3 linked regions of the Rattus norvegicus genome follow. The protein of the gene in region 2 interacts with the protein of the main gene of each other region in a pairwise test. Links are inferred from orthologs where the notes say so. Each region holds a gene or a part of one and is shown on either strand. Other genes may lie near its edges.

Region 1 (7,905 bases), on a different chromosome or scaffold from region 2:
GCTGAGCCATCTCTGAAGCTCCAAATGTTGGCCTTTTGGCACCACGAAACGTACATCAACGTGTTTCACTGCATGAAAAGGCTCTGTATTTTAAACTGAAATGCTCCGGTCAGGAGCAAGGAGGGAAAGAGAAACCATCTAAGGTTAAAACAAAACATCCCTGCTCTGTGACGTCCGACTCATCTCTACCGTACCACTTCACCTATATTCTAGTTTTTATTTTCACTAATTTTGTTTTTCTTCTTCCCTGGAGGTCACGGACTGTGACCTTAGAAGATCTGCTATCCTGAGGTTCGCCTGTAGCAACAACTCTTCTTATCACATTGACACTGACACGTTCATTCACAGACGTCTTTAAAAAGCAGCTTGCTGGCATATGTGGAAACACCCGGCAACCCTGTTCTTGTGCACTGATTTCTAAAGTACATTCCAGAGTTATGGGAAACAACACTAGGCTTGAAGCTGATCATGATAGTGACAAAGATCTGTGCGTCTAGGATATTAAATGTTGGAAACAATTTAAACAACACAATTACTATGCTGGAATTAAAATGGTTTTAAATGCCATGCAGCAGCCTGGTAAAGTCTCTACAATTTATTAAGACAAAAAAAAGAGAGAGAGAGAGAAAGCATCATATAAAATTATAGAAATACACTATAATTGTAAGCATACAAACTGGGGTGGGTGAACATCCTGAATTAGGTGTTGCTAGATTATGTTCTTGTTCTGCCATCAATACACATCTGTTTGTCATTGGAAATTAATAAAAAATTAGATAAAGAAAACAAAGTTGAAGTTATATTAATTCAGTGGGGGTTTTTATGTTCTTTATGGGGTTGCTTTCTAATTGTATGCACATAATATAGTTTACATATTTGTACACATGGCTAACAAATAATCAAACTTTGTTTTATTAAGAATAGAGGGGCTGGAGAGATGGCTCAGCGGTTAAGAGCACTGACTGCTCTTCCAGAGGTCCTGAGTTCAAATCCCAGCAACCACATGGTGGTTCACAACCATCTGTAATGGGATCTGATGTCTTCTTCTGGTGTGTCTGATGACAAGCTACAGTGTACTCATATACATTAAATAAATATTAAAAAAAAGAATAGAAAGATTAATTTGACTAGCTCCCAATTTCCTTGGAAAGCAGACTATGATCCCTCTCATCTACTACCATAAAAGGTTGAGTATTATGGACTATTCTGCTAAAACAGTATGGACCACAGACCTTTCTTTCAGTGTCACGAGTTCTGGGTTACAAGTCAGTTGGCAGAACTGTCCCCCGTGCACAAACACAGGACAAGGAATAACATGTACTGAGTTGGGCAATACGATAGCTTCCAGTTCCTCTCTGCTACCTCTAAAGTCAGGGGCAGTATCATTAGAGGCTGGGAGTACTCCTTGGTGATGGTGCACTTAGAACAGTCAAAGACCTAGGTTCAATTCCCAGCACCGAAACTGGGTAGTGGGGCTGAGGAAGGGGGTGGCTTGGTAGATAAAGGTTACTTAGCACCAAGTCTGACCACCTGATTTTGATCCTTAGAACCCACATGGTAGAAGGAAAAAGATCAACTCCCGGAAGTTGTCCTATGAACTCTACACACGGTTCTACGGCAGCCCCTCACCACCCCCACCCCCCACCAAACCATCCCACGCAATATGAAATGAAACCAACATCAGTAAGGTCAGTTCGTTTTCTGAGGTTAAAAGATGTCTCTAGCATCAGTCAACTGTATCATGGGGCACCCAAGACAAGGCATTCTCGGGCTTCCCACTCTTCTTATTCATCGGGGTTCACCTTCTGGACACATTTTCTTCGAAGTTACAACATTCCTATCCTGATGACAACAAGGTTAGCAAGCTCTTCAAATTTCAAGGAAGAGTAATTAGCTGACAGTCACTCGGTATACTTCATAGGAAGTGTGTCCAAAGACACTTCATCCTGCCATATAAATAAAGTCTGGCATTTCTATCCTCCACACTTCTACAATCTCACAAATCGACTCCACCCTTTCCTCGTGGGGTTCTCCACCAAGAACCCAAACTACTGTTGTTGTTCTGCTTTGATGTGGGGTGCACATGCCTGTGCACACGTGCACACACAACCCACACTCACCCATAGCAAATGCTTACTCGGATTCTCTACAGCACAGGACAATGTCTACAATTTTAAAAATCACGTAACATTTAAAAAGTTCACTGAAACGGAGAGTCTATGGCGCTGGCTAGGCACCGCAGGCTAGACTTCTTTGAATCCAGAACTTGAGAAATGGCGGCTGGAGATCACTGTGAGTCTGAGGACAGGTTAGGTTACACAGTGAACTCCAGGCTAGTCTGGTTCAAAAAGAGAGAGACCCTGCCTCAAGCAAACAAACAACGGGCAGGGATCATGCTTAACGAGTTTGCATCTTTAAAACAAAAATGACCCTGCTACATCTTAATACAAGACTAGAAGAGAGTCGGAACCCAGTCTCTTGCCACACTTGCAACTGAAATTGAAACTGTGTCCCCTAGAAAACAAGGAGATGAGATAATTTTCCTTTAGAAATGTGAAGAAAAAGCTAAGAGTCTGAATCATTAAACTCTATGAATGTAAATGACTACTGGCGTGCCTATGGTCATCTCCACCAATCTCAATGTTGACTCTTGAGAATATTTCTAGCACTCTGATAATTTTTTTAAAAATGCAGAATGCATTTGAGAGTTGGGGTTGGGAGTGTAGCTCAGTTGGAAGCGTGTTTGCCTGGCACCCACAAAGAGCTGTCTTTGGGGACCTGCCTGTATTTCCAAACTCAGGAGCCCAGAGGATCAGTTCCAGATCAGCCCAGACAATACAGTAAGTGGGAAGCCAACCGGGGCTGCTTCAGACCCGGTCTCAAAAGAAATGGATAAATAAATAGTTAACCTATGTTAAGAGGAAACCAAGAACCCAAATTACTGTTGTCACTGGCTTTGATATGAGGTGTTGTTGTTGTTGTTGTTGTTGGGGTGGTTTGTTCCAAGCATGTGTGTGTGTAGGTGTGTGAGTGTATGTGTCTGTTTGCATGTATGTGGGGATACACATGAAAGACCGAAGTTGACATGGGTAGGCCGCATCAGATAAGGGCCAATCTAGCTAACTGGCCGTTCTAGCTATGGTCCTTGCTTGGGTTCTTGTGGGTTCTAGCGAACTCTACTCCTCTCATGAGAGGAACAAGTACTTTATCCTCTGAGCCCCTTCCCAGCCTGACTTATGCTTCCTTTTCATGTAGCTCTTGTTCTGTCTGTTTTGGATCTGCTATTCTTTGGAGACAGGGACTAGCTATATAGCCCAGGCTAGACTCAAAGTAGCCATCTTTATGCCTCGGCTTCCTGAAAGCTGAGATCACGGATGTGCATGACCACTCTGGACTTGTTTTTATTTAATTTCATCTAGACGATGAATAAAAAAATACAGCCAGGGCAATGAAGTAAAATACAATCTGAATAGGAGCCCTGTGTGTTGGCATGTTTTTAATTCCAAGCATTCTGGAGGCCGAGACAGGTGGTTTTCAAGTTCAAGGCCAGTCTAGGCTGCAGATAAGATAAAAGACCCCCCCTATACACACACACACACACACACACACACACACACACACACACACACACACATACACAATCTGAAAAGGAATCATGTATGTATATACATACATATATCTTTATATCATATATACATGTATTAAAACACAGGCTATAGAAAAACACCAAGTGGTCTATGTGGTTAAATGAGGTGGGAGAAATACAAAGAAAGGAGGAAGATGGGAATGTTTTACAGAGGAAAACTACAAGAAAAAACAAGTTGAGGGGTTGGCACGGGTGGGTGGTGGGTGGGTGGGTGTTTCAATTCTAGAGAAGGCTGAAGCTGGAGAGAAAAGTGACCCTTAACTTAGAGGGTCAGAGAATGGGGGGAGACCCGTCAGGAAAGAAGTGCATGGGAAGGGTGCGTACACATTGAGGAAAGGGGGCTGAAGGGCAGTGATCTTGAGGATTCAGAAGAGGCCAGACAGATCAAGAATGAGGTTGCTGGGGAGAGAAGGTAGGAGAGGATGAAGGCACTAAGTAAGGTTAGAGTGCAGCTGCGGAGAGGCCTGGAGATGGCCTAGGGTAATCGGGCCAGAAGGCAGGTAGATAGGGCAGGAAAATAACAGGGCCTCTGTGAGCCCAGGAGGGTGAGTGGACTACCAAGAGGCCGAGCAAATTCGGCAGAGGCTGGGATGCGTGCGGACGGTGGAGCCTGCAGGATGAAGGAGAACAGACGTGCGCCAAGCGGAGAACCCTTCGGGCTGGCCCTCACCGTGGAGTCCGTAAAGGACGAGCCCGGGAGTAAGGGCAGGCCGTGCACCGGGTTGGTCACCATCGCTGCCCCGCAGTTGCCGCCACGGTTGCCTTCTGCCGCTCGGGTTGCCCTGGCAACAAACAGCACTCGCGGGCCTCTGCTGACTCCAAGGTAACGCCAAACACACTAGTGGAGGGAGGGGAAAGGCGGCGGAGGCGGGGTGGGTGGTGGGGGTGGGGGTGGGGGGGAGGTGGGGGTTGGGGATGGGGAGGGGAGGAGGAGGAGGCGGCCAGGTCTGCGTCTGCGCACAGCACTACTGCCTCTAATAGCCTTAACTGGACGTGGCTGATGGGTGTGACAGAGGCTGTCCCGCCCCTTTCTTTCCCATCCCTTTCCTTTCTCCTCAGTCCCCACTTCCTGGGTCCCAGAGGATCCAATCTAGGAGCAGCAATCTGTAAGGCTGTTCTTAGGCCTTGGCTCGCCCAGTGAGGTCTGGGATTGGACCACGTCCTTTTAGAAGAGTTACAAAGAAGTTCCCTCTCGCTCCCAGTTCTCCCAAGAGCTCAGGCATCCTTTCTCAACTCTGGGGAAAAAGCTGCTATCCTAGTCCACACACAACGTACCATGGTTGCGCTAAGTACTTCAAACTCATACTTCTTGGAGCTGGAGCTGTGGATTAGATTATAATTGACTACATTTCCGTTGCTCAGACTTGATCAGTGAACTGATTTGGAAGCCCCCATCTCCCCAATCCCCCAATTTCCTGGTCTTCTCTCAGCTGTTTATTCCACCGTAGATTCCTGTAAGTGCGCAGAACTTTACTGGGTAACTGTTGACTGAGAAGTGCCTACCTTAGTCCCTACTTCATACCTATAACATCAGTGAAACCTAAGAACCTCAGAGGAAGAGAGACCGACTCAGAGAAAGAAGCAACTTGGGTGAGTGAAATGTTGTCAGTGTCATGTGTACTAACAAGTATCAAACTTTATGGACAACCTAATTTCCTTTTCAAAAAAAAAAAAGACCCTGAAAGGTCTTTAAAGAAAGGTAAAGGAAGAAACCAAGAATCCATCAGCATGGAGAAGTTAAAAATAAAACGATGCCCAGAGATTTGGTTCCCATATGTCTCAAATTTCCCAGGATTCTGGTCTTTATGTTTTCTGACCTAGGAGTTTAGAGAAATGATAGAGTAGTAAGCCCGAGAGAGAAGACATAGCTTGTTGTCGTGGGTCACCAGTTCAAATGGCAGCTGTATTAGTCAGGGCTCCCTGGAAGAACAGAACTGATAGAATGAATAAACACGTATTGATTGATGTTGGTGCTGAAGTAGAGAGAGAAGCTCGCCAAGAGGCTAAGCCTTTATTTCCCGAAGGAGCAGAGGGGTTCGGCCTTTTTGGACTAGGCTGACACCCAGCTAACTCACTCCAGTTACTTTATTCAAAAAATATGCAAGGTTGATTGGGGCTGGGAAGGTTCGAGCTACCAAAGGTATCTTGCCCTTGCTGCTCAGGAGTGCAGACAACCCTTTTGACCATGGCTAGCCATAATTGTAAGTAAGGACTCCAGGTTTGCCAGGAGTACCTTAAGACCCAGATTAGTGCAGCTGCAAGTTCTCACGTAGGACCAAGTACAAATTCTCCAGAGCACCCAAACATAGCAAAGGCTTTGCTGAGATATTTTATTTAAAGTCAGACATAAAGGGTTTACTGTACCTATCAACACACACACACACACACACACACACACACACACACACACAGGGACACCCTGGATTTTGGCTTACAGGCTGTTGTCCAGCTAGTCCAACAATGGCTGTGTACCAACAGAGGGTCCAAGAATTCAGCAGTTGCTCAGTCCACAAGCCTGGATGCCTTCAGTATATGCCAGAATTCCAAAGAACTAGGCTCTAATGCCAGTGAAGGAAGGGACTTGCTACTGAGAGCAAGCAGACAGAGAGCCGGCTTCCTTCTTCCAGGTCCTTTAGATAGGCCGCCAGCATGTGGCCCAGAGTAAAGGTGGATCTTCCCACCTCACAAGGGCATGTCTTCCCACTGGAAATGATTTAAGTAAGGAAAATCCCTCACAAGTATCCCCAGCCTCTTGGGTTTTAGCGAATTCCACGTAGAGTCAGGTTGACAACCAAAAATAGAACTGTCTGCTTTGCCCTTGTGGCTGCTTATAACAGCAAATCTTCCTGTGGGTTTCACTCGCTGGCATGAAGCTTTGGGGTCAGGAAAAGAATACAGTAAGTGACCTCTAAAGTCGTTACTGGAGACTGCTGTACCTACTCACAAAATTGTTTTCTAGTACTTCTTCCTTTCTACTATTGTTCATTCCTGTCTGCCTCTTCCTCCTCTTCCTCCTCTTTCTCTTCCTCTTCCTCCTTTTCCTCCTCTTCATCTTTCTTTTCCTCTTCTTCTTCGTCCTCCTCCTCCTCCTCTTCCTCTTCCTTCTCCTTTTCCTCCTCTTTCACCTTTTCTTCTTTTGAGACAGCATTTCATTGTGTTCTCCTTGCTGACCTCCTGGAATTCTCTGTGAAGCCCAGAGATTTGTCTGCCTCTGCCTCCTAACCCTGGGATTAAAGGCCTGCATCACCACAGCTAGCCGTGGTGTTTCCTCCACCTGATAGTCTGCGTTGCATGTCCCTTTTGCCCTAGTGTACACATTAACTTAATAAGGAACTCACCCTCAGTATTTAATTAAAACCCTCAATGAGTTGATTAGCATCAGGGCAGTGACTGGAAACTTTCAAAGCTCCCGCCGTTGCACCGTACCACAGACTGGGATGGTGACTGAGAGAATTAATCATGGTGAACATCTCAACCCATCAGCCTCCCTCTCCTCAGGACCTCGATGCTGCTGGGTAGCCAGCATCAGTGTTGAGTGACTCACCATGATAGGCTTAAACTCTGGCAGGTCCACAATCTCTCTACTCATATCATATCTCTTAAAGGAAACCCCAGGACACACAAACAAGCTTAGGGGCCTTTCTGGCTGAACAATCTGGCTGCCCTGGATCTGTCTTCCCTGCTGTGTTCGAGGAAGGGAGCTTGTGGGACTGGAAGGGTCAGTCACACCGGAGCCTGTCACTCAGGAGGAATCTGTTTGTGTTTGAGGAGTGACTTCTGCCTATATACTTTTCTTTCAGAGTAAATCCTACTAGTCAAATGGTCAACTGAGTGTCTCTTGTTTACTTTTGCACACAGAAGTGCATGAGTAGAGACAACTTCCGTGGTCTGTGGCCTTTAAACATTGCTGTCCATTCTGAGAGGGGAAATGCCGGATAGAGTCGCCGCAGTGATTTGAATATGGTCTGTCCGCTGTGGTGCTTATGTTGACATTCAATTACTATGGTAGTAGTGATCATGGTGGTGGTAGAAGGTTTTGTCTTGGAGGTGACCAGATCATGAGGGCAGCTGCCTCCCAAATGGATGAATGCCTTTGGTGAGTGGGTTGTGACTGGTTATTATAAGAAAGGGTTGTTATGGAGCAAGGTACCTTTTGTTTGCCTCTTCAGCTTTTTAAGGTCTAGTGTGTCATACATTAACACATAGTAGAGGCAGACGCCGCGTTCTTAGATTGTCTCAGCCGCCAGAAACTCGAGTCG
Region 2 (8,092 bases):
TGAAGAAAATCAAACATTCATTAAGTGGAGAGTATTGTCACACGAGCAAAAATGTGGGCATGTCTGAAATATGGCTGGTATAAGAAAAAAAGTGTTTCATAAAACGAAGCTGACATAGTTTGCTATCTAAACATCAAAGGGAAATTAATCACGGGTGGCAAGGGGCACAGCTCAGTCAGAAATGTGCTTGGCTTTCAATATAAGATCCCGAGTTCAAGCCTCAGCATCCATAAAAACATCCAGGCATGGTAGCATAGCCTACCCCTGTAGGCCCAGTGCTGGAGGGGAGACAGGGGGAACCTTGGAGTTCAGAGTGTGTGTGTGTGTGTGTGTGTGTGTCTGAGAGAGAGACAGACAGACAGACAGAGATCTGAGTTACTCAATAATGTATTACTGCTACCTTTAACTTTACTCATTTTGATTTAGACCTCTTGCATCTGAATCTATCACTCATTTGCTTATTCAAAGGACAGGAAGCAGGCCAAAGGATCTGGGTTCAATCTCAGTACCAACCAGAAACAAAACAAAACAGAAGAACTCAAATAAACAACAAATACCAAAAAAAGAAAGAGAAAACTATTTTAAACCAACCAAATCCATACTAAGTACTGAAATATAAGGCAAATGAATATTTTACAACTTGTGTATCACTGTATGTATAAAATTACCTTTTAGTTTTAAATATCTCATAGCCTATGCATTCTTGTAGGACTTACTTAAGAGAACGCACCTTTCTTTTCAAGTACGTTAAATTCAACATGATTTTTTTTTCAGTGGCATCTTAAAGAACTTATGTGGTTGAACTAAAAGGTCAAATAAATCCCAGCCCATTACTTAAGAGGTATTCTGATGGGAAATTGATATGTAATGACATCATTGCTGGTAGCTGGTTACCTTTTTTGAAGGAGAAGTATAAAAAACATTGTAGGGTCATTCAAAGCAAGTTACACATTTCTTTAAACCAGAGTGTATCTATTTATTTATTTATTTTTTTCGGAGCTGGGGACCGAACCCAGGGCCTTTGCGCTCTACCACTGAGCTACATCCCTAACCCCTCAGAGTGTATTTATAAAACTATAAAATACAAAGAACTTAAGAGTTAAGTACTTTTTAAAAAATAACTTAAAGTAGTAAGAATTACCTAAATATTGTCATGTAATATCATTCATTTATATTTATTTTTCTTGTAGAAATCCTTCATTGAGCCAAGCAGTGGTTGGGCACATCTTTAGTCCCAGTCCTGGGTTGGCAGAGGCAGGTGGATCTCTGATTTTTGAGGCCAGCCTGGACTACAGAGAGTTCCAGGAGAGCCAGGGCTACACAGAGAAACCCTGTCTTGAAAAGCGAAAAAAAAAAAAAAAAGCAAAAGTATAACAACAATAAAAATGAACTCTCCATTGATAACAAGCCTCATGCAAAAACACATTTCAGAATTTATAGTCCATATTCTCCAGTTGGAAGTAACTTTTCTATCCTGTAGACCAACAATCATGGTACTTTTGTATAACACAATTATTCCAAAAAAGATCAGTTTAGGGAAAATTAACTATTGTGTTCTTTCTTTCCTTTTTTTTTTTTTTTTTAAAAGACGGTGTCTTATCTCTCTAGGGCTAACCTCTAACTTGTTTTGTAGCCTAGGCTGGTCTTGAACTTGTAAGCCTCCAGCCCCCACTTCCCTAGTGTTGAAATTACAGGCTCCACTATCACAGACTTGGTCCAGTGCTGTGTCAGATCAGGACTTCTTAAGGCTGGGCAGCTACTCTACGAACTGAGCTACATCCTTCTCCTTTTGAGACAGGATCTCATCATCAACACGATCGTGCATAGAACACAGACGGGAGAAAACTGGAATGAAATGCAATTGAGTCCCTTAGGTAGTACTTAAGAGATCACATATATCCCGCGTTCTTAATCGTGATCGTGCCCCATCATTTTCTCCATTTATTCTCTTTACCTCACTAATTATTATAACACCTTTAGCTCTTTCCCATGTGCTTCGCTTCTGAAATATCTGTATTTGTGAGCTGTCTTACTTAAAAAAAAAAAAAAAAAAAAAAGGAAGTCATTTGTTTCAGCCAGCCACTCCCAGCCCCCGGCTCCATTATTAAAGGGTAAGCGGTCCCACAGCTATGTTCACTTATGGGGGGGGGGAGGGTTACTGCAATTCACACACAAAAAGTTAGTGAGTAGTAAGGTCTACAAAGATAATTTCTTCCTTCCTGTTATGTGACACAGCAGAATCATATTCAAGGAAAAGTGTGACTAAATACAAACTTTCTACATTTAAAAGTGCATCTCACCGAAGACGGTGGCAATCATTAGCAACCTGTAGTACTCGCCTCACAAAGTAAGGGGCTACCTCCCTCCATTTTGTTCTTTTTAGGAAATAATGAGTAGTTTTAAACATGGACACAAAGTGACTTAAATAGAATAGAACTGCGTGGATAATGACTTCCTAAATATGCAGACTTTGATCGGGAACACTTTTCTGCACTTTGCCTGCTATGATTAATCTCATCAAAAGGCCAGAATCAAAGGACAGTATTGTTTAAAAGGCAATGAAAGTCAGCTTAAGGGCTAGCTAGGAGGTCTTAATTTGCTAACTTACCTGAACAATAATTAGAATCATCATATAAAACCCTGTCTACTCAGGACGTTTATAGAATTCTGCTCATGAGAGTATGATCTATGACACTTTGCCTTTATAAGGCACCACCTATTAAATTACACACACCTATTTACATATGACATCCGGAGAAGGAATGAACGAATGGACGTAAATACCTGGCGATCGACAGAAACACTTCTCAAGGTTTCAGTACTACATCGAAAACAAGAGTCTAAATTACATAATGATAAAATAAGCAGTTTGATGCTTTTAAATGACTTCAAATGGAATGGGAACTTTAAATGTATTTCATAAGTTTTCTCTTATATGGTCTTTATAACTGATACGGCTTCTAGGCTCCTTTAAACTATATTTTCACCTAGTAATTTCAAATAACCGAACTACAATTTAAATTATAGTCTAAATTACAATTTAAAATAGTCTCATTTAGTGCAACCCTTGACAAAAGATCAAAAAGCAAGAAGATAATGACACTACAAGTTTCAGATTTGTTTCTATGTTTGTTGGTTTTTTTTTTCTTTTTTTTTTCTTTTTCTGACAGTACTGAGAACTGAACCCAGGGCTTCACAGAAGCTGGGCAAGTCCAACCCAACTTCTAAATCTTTAAAACTTGCTATTTCTTTTAAAAGTTCCCCCTTTTAACTTTTGGAATCATTTCTATAACAGCACATAATATGTGTCCTTAGGCAAACTGCATTCGTATTAATTTTTAAAATCATAGCTGTCTTACAGTCCTTTAATAAATGATTTTTCTGTTGAAAAATTTCAAGCATTACAGTCGTGCACTCTATTAATAAAATCCTGTTAAGTAGACAAGGGCAGAGCTGTTTTAACAAAGCTTGCCACTCTATACATTTCATACAAAAATCTCTTTCGGATTACCAATGAATTAAACATTTAAAGCCTTTCCGTGCTTCTTAATCTGAACACGAGTTAAATTTACGAATTTACTAGAGTATCTGAAAGTCTGGGTTCATTTAAATGGGTAAAGAGAAAGTTGAAATATTTTAAACTACACTTGTTTTCTCATGAAAACCACAGACAAACTGAAATCAAGTGTCATGTGAAACACCCCAGTTTCCTTTACGGCCTACAGCAGGAGTTATGGCATTGCTCTGCTCAACTCTTAAAGCGGTCACTAAGCTTTCTACTTCCTCTTCTCTGCCAGACGTCGGCTGCCTTCTACTGTGGGTCATTGGGAAGATAAGGGTCAGAGTCCTGCTACAGACTGAAGGTGTCATTTTAGCTCCCACGATGGAAAGCACCCCACCACCACCTCAGCTGCTTGAAGCACCTGCTTTACAAATTGCAGGGCTGTCATACTAGACGCCCCTGTCCTGTAAACTGTTTCTTATAAATGTGTCCTCCTCAAAGCAGGCGATCCAATACTTACTAGTGGCATATAAACACTGACATCAAATGATGACATTTTCATCCCTACCAGTACCTAGTGAAAAAAATCCTCTCGCCCTCTTGCTGAATGTGGGCGCAGGTTTGGGGTTAGGGGTTGAGTGGATCGAGGTCTCTACACTATAAACTAGACAAGCATCTCCTTTAGTTCCTGGGAGCGGAGGTAATGCTTTCGCTTGGAACGAATTAAAACGCCACTGAGGACTTTTACAGCCACACCACATTCTGTACCAAGAGCCATCAGTAACTAGCAAGATTGGACTTAAAAAAGAAAGCTCGTCTGAGGTCCGGAGGTTCCTCTTTTTAGTTTAAAAATGTAAAACCGGGTCTCCATACCCACTCAGTCTTTAAACTCGAGAATTCTCTGCTCGCCTTTACTGAGATTACGCCCTGTGATCCTAAAAGCACGCGGCTGGGAATTTCGAAGGTTCTGGCTATTACCAGGAGATCAGATTACACTGCGCCGCTTTGATTTCACACGCAAACCCTGGAGCAGGTAACTTTTTAAACGGCTGACAATTTGCCAGATGAAAAGACTTGAAAGGCAGACCGTCCCAACCCCAAACCGAGCCCCCGACAGCTCCTTCCCTTGACCCGCAGGTGTTCGCCCCGGTACTCACTCGAGGCCATGGCTCCGCTTCGCGCGCCGCTCGCCGCAGCTTCCAGCGTCGGGCCAGAGGCTGCAAGCCAGCCAGCCAGTCAGTGAGTGAGTGAGTCAGCCAGCCAGCTAGCCCGTCAGTCAGCCAACTAGCCAGCCAGCCAGGGAGGAGGCCGAGCAGCCTCTGCAGCCGCGACCCCAGTCCTCCGACCACCCCCGGGCCTCCTCTTCTTTCCCGGCCCCTCTGGGTTTGCGGCTCACACCTTCCCACCCCCGAATCTTCGCGCTCCGGTCACTAGTGTCCTGGAGTCGCCCTGCCAGGATGCCGCGGCAGGGGCAGGGGGCGGAGCGGACCGCCCGGCGGAACGGGGGGGGATTTCCCGCTGCCTACGTCACCCGCGCCACCGCCTACCCGGGACGAGGGCGGAGCCTCGCGGCGGGCGCGCTTCCCGGCTCCGGCTAGTGCGCTCCGCTCCCGGCAGAGCCACGGCGGCCTGCGCGCTCGCGCGGGGAGCTCCCGGGGGCGCGCGGCGACGGCTCCGCGCGTGAGAAGCCGCTGGCCTCTGAGAAATCCCCCTCCTCCGGAGTCCTTAAAACCGAGGGGCGTGTCCGTGACGTTACGCTGGCCGAGTGGCCGGAGGCGGGCCGGGCGGTGCAGCCGGCTCGCTCCTTGGCCGCCAGAGGCCCGCCCGGGGTTTTCGACCGGTGGTTCCCCCTATTCCCTATTTCGCACATGCAAATCTCCGCCCCCGCGCCGGAGGGCGTGGCTTTGGAGGGGAAGTGCGGAAGCGCGGGCGCCCGCGTTCGGCTGTAAGGCACAGATTTGCATACGGGGACCCCCGCAGCCTTATTTTCCCTCTATATCTACATTACGTCTTTACCTAGCAGAGGTTTTCAGCTGCGCTGCGAGGCCGGTGCCCCATCCTGTATAAATGAACACGACGTCCAGAGATTGACCGAGATACCCACAGCCTGTGGCCTGGACCGAACTTTTAGTGCTTTGACAGGTCTGGCGGAATCTTATTCGCCTTCCCTTGCTAATAGGCACCTGTTCTCTTGGTCTATTAGCATTTCATTGCATACACGAGTATTGGAGTTGATTGGGGTTTGGAGGAGCAGAGGAGCTTTGTCGGTACTTTAGAGTTCTAGAAAGGAAACGCACGATTTAAGTTTAAGATTATCCAGTCCAGTTTAGCGCACTCCCAGCACGCGGGAGGCCGAGGCAGGTGGACTGTCTCAACAACAAAAATAACTCAGGCTTGTCTGGCTCCGCCTCTTGCGTTCTCTAGTCACTTACTAAAATAAGTAATGGACGGGAAATAGACTTGTATGGCCAACAAGGTGTCTTAGGGAGAAACCACTTGCCACCAAGCCTGACAGTCTGAGTTTGATCAGGGAAGGACCGAATCAACTTCCAAAAGTTGTCCTCTTAACTCTGCATGTGCCCAAACGCGTGCGCTTGAAAGGGCACCAAAGTGTGCGTGTGGGGGGAGGGGCGTTGGATATTTAAAATATATACTATTCTCTCATACCAAAAAGAAAAAATCCTGTTGTAGAACTCCCCCAAAGTGAAAGAAACTATTAAAATCTGCTAATTTCAAAGTGTCTTCACAAAGAGTATAAATAGAGTTGTCTTTTAGGTTGAACACAACCGTAGACAAGCCTCAAAGATTTAAATATTAAAAAAAAAAAAAGCAGTTGGCAGAGTTAATTATGTTCAGCACTCCAGAGGCCAAAACCGCAGGATCATAACTTTTAAGCTAGGTTGAGCCACAAAACACCACACACACACACACACACACACACACACACACACTTCAGCCTTTGACACAACCATATCCATATGACACAGTTTCTACTTACTATCTTTATTCAAAGAAGTAACTAGGAAGATACATCTTGAAGCAAAGGGAGGTTTAAATTCTCATGGAGATTTTTAGATCTTGTGCTGGGGGAAGGGTTGTCACTCTACACCTGAAAGGCTGCCTGGGTTTTATACAGACTGGTGTGGAAGTTTTAGTAGTGTGTGGCAATGTCTGTTATCCCAGCATTTGGGAGGTAGAGGTAGGAATAGCAGAGTTTCAAGATCACACTCCGATATCTAATGAGTTTACAAAGCCAGCCAGAGCTATGGGGAGACTGTCTCAAACACAAGCGTACATGAATGTTTACATTACAGTATTTCTATAAAAATAAGGTGGTGGGGGTAGTAGAAATCATTTGGGCTCTACAGAAGGACACTGTGGAAGCCATGTTTCAGCTGAGTCAGTGGTTGCTCCTGGAAACTTCTATGCAATTGATGCACCAGTTCATTCGGAGATTTTATCTTGGCTGGTATGTTACACTGTAACATATGCTTCCGAGGGGCAAGGGCAGGGCATTTAAGCTGTTGCCACAATGAAAATTTTAGAACCATGATGTTGGACTAGTGTTTGTGCAGAAGATGAGGTGAAAGGAAGGCCGGATGTTTGATGGCAGAGTCAGCTGCTAAAATTGAAAAGCAGCTGAGGATTTTTTTATTTTAATGAACTAGAGTTTGACAAAACGGAAGTCGTTAAAGTGGTGGCACAGCTCTTTCCAGTAACCCCAAGACTAGGCAGGCTGATACCAGAGATTCCAAAGTTCAGGGCTAGCCCAGGCTATATGGAGAGACTGCCTATGAAATAAAGAATGGAAGTCATTCGTGAGTGGAGAGCTGTGCCTTAAAGAGGATGAGTATAAAAGCCGAAATGAAGCTGGTTAAGGAGAGACTGACGGATGAGATAAACTTTTGGAAGAGTGTTGAAGAAAACAGAAATGGAGTATTAGCTAATGCATGGAGTGGGATTATAGTATGCTCAGGTCTATCAGTGACAACCTCGGGCTTAATAAGTTAGCCAAAGTCCCCTGTGAGTTGACTGGCTCCCTTCCAGGAGTGACCCAGGCATCTTCAGCTGGGCCTGCTCTCACTAAGTCTATGATGTGGATTATCACCTTGTAGGCTAAGCCTCATGACCTCAGTTACTCTTCTGTTACAGTGATAAAACACAGGAACAATCAGGGCAATCTGTAAAAGAAAGCATTGAGTTTGAGGGCTCATGGTTTCAGAGGGCAAGACCATGGCCATCCTGGTGGGGAGCATGGAGGCACTGGGGCAGTAGTTAGAGCTTACATCTTGTGACAACAACCACAAGGCAGAAAGCTGACTGGGAATGGCTTTTGAAACATCAGAGCCTACCCCTAGTGACACACCTCCTAATCCTTCCCAAATAGTACCAACTCTAAACCAAGTTAAACTATATGAGCCTAATGAGAGCATTCTCATTCAAACCACCACAGTTGCCTTGAGTTATTCCATTTTGCAAAGCAACAAGCATGACCAGAGTTACTCCGATTTGAGTATGAGTGCCAAGAAAGAGTGAGTCTGCATCTTGCTTACACAAGCAAACAACTGTTATCTGCCAGCACACTGCGAG
Region 3 (7,904 bases), on a different chromosome or scaffold from region 2:
TTTATAAACATTTTGTACTGAGAAGTCCACTAGACCAGATGTAATTGCCTTGTGCTTTCCAAATTCATCCAATTCATTCTTTCTTTCCTTTTCTTTCTTTTTTTTTTTCAAGATAGGGTTTCTCTGCCTATTCCTGGAACTCTGCAGACTAGGTTGGCCTGAACTCAGAGATCTGCCTGCCTCTGCTTCCTGAGTACTGGGATTAAAGGTGTGCACCACCACTGCCTACCCCCACCATTCTTTTATTCATCATTTTTACTTACCATGTATCCTCCCTGTTATTCTATTTGCTCTAGGAAGGCAGGAAGTGTGTCCATTTTCATTAAGCTCTTAGTACATGTCTGGAACATAATAAAGGTAATACTTGTTCAGTGCTGTGTATTAATACAAGCAAAGTTACTATATATTATCCTGGGGCATTGGGGCAGGAGTCAAATGCTGGTACACATTGTTATATAATATGAAGTACTGTTACAGGAATTGTTAGTTTGTGTTGAGGCTTCTCTAAGACCATGTAGGCCAACATTTTCACAGGTCCTTCTCTTAAACCTAGCAGCCTGGGGTGGAACTGTCAGCCCTTTACTCTTAATAGCCAGACTCTGGTTCCTTCCTTCCTTCCTTCTTTCTTTCTTTCCTTCCTTCCTTCCTTCCTTCCTTCCTTCCTTCCTTCCTTCCTGTTTCTCTGAGGATACTACAGAAGCATAGCTGAAGACAGTCATCAGGAGCACTCCACCAGTCTGCACAGGTCTCAGAAAGCCCGGGCTGAGCGGAAGCCTCAATGAGCATTAGGCAGAGGGGCACTCATCATGTTGGCTCCGCGGCAGGTCTGTGATGCATGAAGGGATGTGTTGTGATTGCTGCAAATATTCTGGCCTCTGTCCACCTGGCAGCTCACTTCTGAAGTCACCTGGATACACCCTCATTGTGCTGCTCCCAGCGTTACATGCTATAACATTAGGCTCATTTGAAAGGCTCTGCGAGTGGCCTTTTCCCTCCTGCCTTTGACTGTTAGTATTAGCAGACCAGACTGAGCTATCGGCACAAGGAAGACAAGGTTAGAACTGGCACACTGGTAGCAGCTTCCAACTAGTAACAGTTGAAGCCCCAGGAAGGCTTCCAGAGAGGAAGCAAATAACTGAAGTGGAAACACTGGAGTAGAGGCAGAGGAAGCTATGAGAACTAGGTGCTGAAGAGTTTCAGGAGGCTTCCTGGCCTTAAGCGGTAATACTAGTCATTGTAGGAATGAAGTGTCTGTTGTTATTAAAATCTTGTTGTTGTTAAATATCGGCCTGTACCCATCCAGATAGAGCACACCAAACCAATACGGTTCCACAAGGAGAGATTTATGAAGAATGAGACTAGGGGAAGGGGCAAGAGAAAGAAAAGAAAAGAGAAGGAAGGCAAAGGAAGTCTGCTTTTTATTTGGAATGTGATGTAACTATTCCCAGGTCGAGGTGGGAATTGAGCCAAAAGGTCTTCTGGGAATGTATGGCTGTTGCCATAGCAACAGTGACCAACCGTTGCAGCTGTTGGAGGTAAAGGCAATTCCTGATACCAACAGTGTCTCAACAGTCAAGGCCCCCCTCCAGGATCTGTAAGTCCAGCAGATGACTGCTGCTCTCACTCACAGCCGCTGGGCGCTGAGCATTACAGTGGCTGGCAAATGCTTGCCAAATGAATGCCAACAGCATCCAACCTGAGCACCCAGAGCCATGCGTCACTAGCTTCTAAATCAGGAGCCCTAAGTCCCGACCTCTCAGTGTTTGGAATTGCAATCATCTAGTCTGCTAGTCCAGGCCTTGGACACTCAAGGGCCTGGGAACTTCTCCTACTGATTTCTATCCAGTTAGAGCAACATGACCCCAGCCAGCTGACAGGTGACAACCGAAATATCAATCACAGTTAAAATGGCGGATCTGAACAGGCATAGTGTCTGAGTTCTGTAATCCCAGAACGCAGAAGGCCAAAACAGCAGGACTGCCCTGAGTTCCAGGACAGCTGTTTGAGAACTCTGTTTGTTCCCTTACGTCTCAAGAAAAAAAAGGGGGTAGGGGTGGTGTGTAGATAATCAGCCTCTCCATATGCAAAACAGTAATGTGTATGTGGCCTTTACTACAGCTCATTTGTCTGACTATGGTACTTTTCCAGGTATAAGAAACGCAGATATTTTCAGATTAATACTTTCTGCTCTCTCTTTCCTTCTCTACCCTCAGTGGCAAAGTAGTACACTCAACTTTAAGAATGACTTAGATTCTTACACTTGCATAGTGGCTATGGTTTGCAAATGTTGAAACTGGATTGATGTCATACAGGTGAAGGCAGGTACAAGATAGAACGAGGCCTGTCATTGGACGAGAAGGAAGGATGGGCGGGAGAAAAGTTTTAGAGAGAGGAGGAGACTGGAGGAGGCAGGAGAAGCAGCAGAGAGAACATGGAGGCTGATGTTAAGATTCCTCTCTGCACATTTACAGGTTGTTATGAATAATCTTTTTTTTTTTAAAAAGATTTATTTATTTATTTCATGTATGTGAGTACACTGTAGCTGTCTTCAGGCACACCAGAAGAGGGCATCAGATCTCCATTACAGACGGTTGTGAGCCACCATGTGGTTGCTGGGAATTGAACTCAGGACCTCTGGAAGAGCAGTCAGTGCTCTTAACCTGTGAGCCATCTCTCTAGCCCCCTGTTATGAATATTCTTAAGGGATGGATGTGTACAGGGCTTTTTGTATGTCTAGGTGAGCAAATTATATATTATCAATTGTATCGGAGGTTATTGTGTTGTGTGTTCTTTCATGTTTTAAGTTCAAGAGTATATGTGGTGACTGGAGACGTGTATTTCTGGCATGGTGGCAACCTGCCTTGGGAACTAGATGGGTAGAGAGACTGTTGTCAGGCTCAGAGAGAAGCCATCAGCAGTGTGATATGGGATTGAGCAAAGCGGGTGAGAGGAAGATATCTACAAGATATCTTGGGGCACTAAGGTGCTGGACCTAGTGTGGGATAAATTAAGGCATTTTTAATAATTTTACAGCAACAGAGGTAAGGTAGCATAAGGTAATAATATCTTTATAAACTTAGTTCTGGTAGGAGGACAAGTCTAGGTGCACTGTTTAAGAAACTAACATTATGGGGTTGGGGATTTAGCTCAGTGGTAGAGCAAGGCCCTGGGTTCTGTCCCCAGCTCCGAAAAAAAAAAAAGAAACTAACATTATATTAGTTCGTTATAGAAAAATAGGGGAAAATGGGAAAGAGAAAATGAATATTCATCTAGCTTCTTTTTTTCTAGCTATATATATGTGTACATACATATATGCATAAATATAAAAACTACGGTTTAGTTTTATATCACACATATGGTTTCCTTATTAAAATGAAAATTTTACGGTTGCTAGGTAGACTTATCATATAGGGTCATCATCTGTATTTTCACCCCTAGTGATAGATATGAGATTTTTACTCAGGTTAGTCATAATAAAGAGCTCCTTTTCATATTGCTGTGGTTTGCCTTTGATCTGAGTCAATGACCACTCACTATTCCCAGATCACCTCACTAAAGTGTGATGTTAGTAAACTTTCTAGAACCTTCTAGACACTCTCTGGTCTACAAACACAAGCAAATGGCCACATTTGTGAATAGAGTCGATTATAATGTTAAGGTCTTGACTATGGAGTTTTCTTTTTAATTTATTGTTGTTGTTGGTATTTCAAGACAGGATTTCTCTGTGTAGCTCTGGCTGTCCTGTCATGGTCTCACTCTATAGACCAGGCTGGCCTCAAACGCGGAGATCTGACTGCCTCTGCTTCTCCAGTGCTAAGATTACCCGGCTTTTTGTTTGTTTGTTTCGTCCATATTTCTTAATAGCCTGTTTGTAGTGTTATATTACACTATCTTCCTACTTTTGAGAACTCCGAGCCTTCTGATCTGTAGTATAGCACTCTCTAAGCCTGCTAACACATTCCGCAGTCGGGAGGAATGACATCATATTTAACAAATGTACTTTTATCTAATATACTTTTTCTACCAGGGATCAAGTACTGTGCTCCCTAGAGCACCTAAGGGGATACAGAGTTTCCGATTCATGCGCTTACCAATGCAAGGAGACCCTTCCTACCCTCCGCGGCCCTTCTTACCCTTGAAGACGTACAGGACGTGAAAATCTGAACAGCAGTGAGGGGATGGTTTCCATCCTATCGCCTTGCACAGAGGAGCACTTAGATCGACTTTGAGGCGAGGTGGAGCCTGACCCTGCAGGAAGCGGCGACAGCCATAGCCTACAGGAGTAACCATGGGGTGAATTCAGCGGCAGGGGGCCCGGCCCGCACGCATCCGGTTGAGGACAGGAAGCGGGGCTGAGCGCGGCGAATGCGGTCCTAAAGCAGCTCGTCGGGTCCAGGGCCCGCCAGGGCGCCCCAAAGATCGTTCTCTAGGCAACAGCGGGGCGCGCGAACTGCGCTTGCGCAGCCTCTCGCCCCGCCCCGGCTGAGATGACGAGGGGCGGGGCTAGGGGCCGGCCTCTCAGGAACCTGGAGTTACAGGGGGTCCTAGGGTGGGAGCGCAAGGAGCGTTCTGTCCGGGTCACCGTGGAAGGTGGGGGTACGCTCTGCGTGCTCAGGTTCCTCCCGTGACCGCAGCTTGCTCCGCGCGCCCCTCTCGGGCGTCGGGCTCCGGCGTCCTGGCTGCCAGCGCCCTTGCCTGGCTGCTCCTCTGGGCAGCTGGGCTGGTCGGCAGGCTCGCCGCAGACATCAGCGACGCCCGCTTCAGCGATGGTAAAGGTCAGGGGGCTGAGGTGGGGAGCATTCGCGGTGCCTGGGGTACCAGAGTCCAGAGGAGGTTAGCAACGAAGGCTGCGTGCGCCCTTTCCTGCTTGATCTTTGCTGGGTGTTCCATCCCGGGCTTCAGAGCCTGGCTTTGTCTTCCCGAGGCGGGACTGGCCACGCTGTGACTAAAGTGCTAATAAACAAGAACAGCCAGCCACGAAGCACCTTGAGATGTTTATGGTTCCCCTTAAGATGCTTTGTGCTAGCTGAGAAGCAACGAACCCTCGGCAACCAGCGAAGTGTGAGAACGCCCAGACAGCATGTATGGGAGAAGGGGTGAGGTGGTGTGTTATGTGACACACTTCCTAGAGAAACACGCACGCACGCACTACTCACTCCAGAAAGGTAACCTTTGTACCAGTGTCCGGTCTGGTAAACCAATTAATTTTTTTTTTTTGGTTCTTTTTTTCGGAGCTGGGGACCGAACCCAGGGCCTTGCGCTTCCTAGGTAAGCGCTCTACCCAATTAATTTTTTTATTGGCTTTACTAGTAGGAATATGGGTGAGGGGTTTCTTACTAGGAACAAGGATAACTCAAAAGAAGTTTCATCGCTCATCCCCAAATGGGTGGCTCCTGAAAACTGCAACCCTGGAGCTCACTAAGCAACTTCCAGGCAGATTTCAGCGCCAGCACGATTTTCCCCCCATCTCTTTTCTCTCTGCAGTTTGCCCCCAGCAACTGTTGACTCCCTGTTGGTAGGACCCTCAAGCTTCTCCCATCTGTTTATCTCCTGGCTTCACGTTACTGAGTAACAGGTTTATCAGTGATTCACACTGTGTTTTAATGTTCTTCCCACACATTTCTAGCCAGTGTTTTATAGCAAGGTATCTGGCTACTGAATCTTTAGGGTTTTTTTTGTTTGCTTCTTAATTTGTGATATCTGAGAAAGGATCTCTCTTGGAGCTTGTATGTAGACCAAGCTGAGTGCTGGCATCAAAGGTGTGTGCCATCTTGCCTGTCTTGAATTTTTAGTCACTGAGTAATTGTTTTAGTGGCCAAAAGAAGCATGGAATCAGTTTATGAAGATTTCTGTTTATTCCAAGTGTGTAAGTGAACTGTTTGAATCTTACGTGCCCCTGATTCTCTTACCTTGCCTTTCTTTTCTTTTTTTTTTTTCTGGAGCTGGGGACCGAACCTGGGGCCTTGTGCTTGCTAGGCAAGCGCTCTACCGCTGAGCTAAATCCCCAACCCCCTTGCCTTTCTTTTCAAACTCTCCTAACATCTTCACAGAGTGTCTGTGTACAATTTTCCAAGACTTGTAGATATGGACATATAAGAATACAGAAGCTGCGGGGTTGGGGATTTAGCTCAGTGGTAGAGCGCTTGCCTAGGAAGCGCAAGGCCCTGGGTTCGGTCCCCAGCTCCGGAAAAAAAAAGAATACAGAAGCTGCTGTATTATGTATTAAACATGATTTGGTGAGCCGGGGTGATGTCTCAAGGTCACATGATCAAAGTCCTTTGTGTATGGTAGCAGCTTTCTGACTGTGTCTACTTGTGTTGAATACCTCAGACATCCACAGAGAGGACTGGTCTTACTCAAAGACAGCTGTTAAATGATGGAAAACAGAGAAGCCAATTCCAAAGGTGTTCTCAACCTCGATGATGTACTACTGGGAGTAGATTTCTGTGTAGCTGAAATGTGTACATTTAAAGTTTTTACCTTGGGCTGTTGGTGGTTAGGCTTTTCTAGCAAGTAAAGCTTACTGTAGTAGTTATTTTCTAACTACTTAAGATTTCTTTCCTTGAATGTATTTTCATTTTTAACGTCTTGATTTTTATAGGTGTAAGGGCCACTTGTTCTGAAATTATTTTGAGGCAAGAATTTTTGAAAGATGGTTTCCACAGGTAGGTTGCCCACTGGTTTCTACTTATATTAAGTACTTTCTCATCATTCACAGCAATAAATTAATAGTTGAAATATGGATAAATTGAAAATTTGTTTCTAGGGGTTGGGGATTTAGCTCAGTGGTAGAGCGCTTGCCTAGCAAGCTCAAGGCCCTGGGATTGGTCCCCAGCTCCGGAAAAAAAAAGAAAGGAAAAAAAAAAAGAAAATTTGTTTCTTTTTTTTTTTTGCTTGTTTGTTTTGAGACAAGGTCTCATCTAGTCCAGGCTGGCCTCAAACTTGCCATGTAGCTTGAGATAACCTCGAACTCTTGATCCACCCAAAGGCTGGGATTATAAATGTATGCCACTAAGCCTGTCTTCCTTTTTCTTTTTTTTTTTTAAATATTTATTTTATTCATATGAGTACACTGTAGCTGTCTTCAGACACACCAGAAGAGGGCATCAGATCCCATTACAGATGGTTGCGAGCCACCATGTGGTTGCTGGGAATTGAACTCAGGACCTCTGGAAGAGCAGTCAGTGCTCTTAACCGCTGAGCCATCTCTCCAGCCCTGAGCCTGTCTTTCTTAAAGTCACAGAGTAACAGATTTGTCATATGTGGTTCGCACTTTGAAATGATTACATGATTACAGTGGATTAATCGTTGCTTGCAATGTACATATATGTGTGTAATTTTATTTAATTTTGTATGCCTTTATTTTTCTTCCTTGAGACACAGTATTGCAGTGTAGCTCGAGTTGGCTTGAAACTTTTGTGATCTGACTTAGCCTTCCAACTGCTGGAATTACAGCTGTATACTGTGCGATTCCTGGTTTATTTTGCTCTTATTTTTAATAATTATCTTGCCTTTTGAAAAGATTACTTCTTGCCAGGTTACTATTCCTAATACATAAACTTTTTTTTTTATTAAAGTTTTCTTTATTTATTATATGTGAGTACACTGTAGCCGTCTTCAGACAACACCAGAAGAGGGCATCAGATCCCAGTACAGATGGTTGTGAACCACCATGAGGTTGCTGGGAATTGAACTCAGGACGTCCGGAAGAGTAGTCAGTGCTCTTAACCGCTGAGCTATCTCTCCAGCCCATGCATAAACTCTTAAAATAAGAAATAAAAGGCCAGGGGTTGGGGATTTAGCTCAGTGGAAGAGCGCTTGCCTAGCAAGCGCAAGGCCCTGGGTTCGGTCCCCAGCTCCAGAAAAAAAAAAAAAGAAGAAGAAATAAAAGGCCAGCCTGCAGT

Evidence for each region.
Region 1: the proteins of Rel (region 2) and Efhc1 interact in binary tests that used the Homo sapiens proteins (3 or more experiments, as listed by UniProt). The two-hybrid records come from large-scale screens. The link is inferred for Rattus norvegicus from reciprocal best matches to the Homo sapiens genes REL and EFHC1.
Region 3: the proteins of Rel (region 2) and Cep19 interact in binary tests that used the Homo sapiens proteins (3 or more experiments, as listed by UniProt). The two-hybrid records come from large-scale screens. The link is inferred for Rattus norvegicus from reciprocal best matches to the Homo sapiens genes REL and CEP19.

What each region holds. Positions count from the first base shown.
Region 1 is NC_086027.1:30,868,783-30,876,687, reverse strand, and holds the start of Efhc1 (EF-hand domain-containing protein 1), read right to left. Parts: upstream 4,426-7,905; 5' UTR 4,380-4,425; coding exon 4,317-4,379; exon of another isoform or gene 4,153-4,316; intron 1-4,152. UniProt on the Homo sapiens protein: Microtubule inner protein (MIP) part of the dynein-decorated doublet microtubules (DMTs) in cilia axoneme, which is required for motile cilia beating.
Region 2 is NC_086032.1:101,917,002-101,925,093, forward strand, and holds the start of Rel (proto-oncogene c-Rel), read right to left. Parts: upstream 4,938-8,092; 5' UTR 4,670-4,937; coding exon 4,660-4,669; intron 1-4,659. UniProt on the Homo sapiens protein: Proto-oncogene that may play a role in differentiation and lymphopoiesis.
Region 3 is NC_086029.1:82,187,608-82,195,511, forward strand, and holds the start of Cep19 (centrosomal protein of 19 kDa), read right to left. Parts: upstream 4,426-7,904; 5' UTR 4,148-4,425; exon of another isoform or gene 4,134-4,147; intron 342-4,133; 5' UTR 264-341; intron 1-263. Other genes in the region: Pigx (phosphatidylinositol-glycan biosynthesis class X protein precursor), read left to right, coding at 4,676-4,769, 6,602-6,665. UniProt on the Homo sapiens protein: Required for ciliation. Recruits the RABL2B GTPase to the ciliary base to initiate ciliation.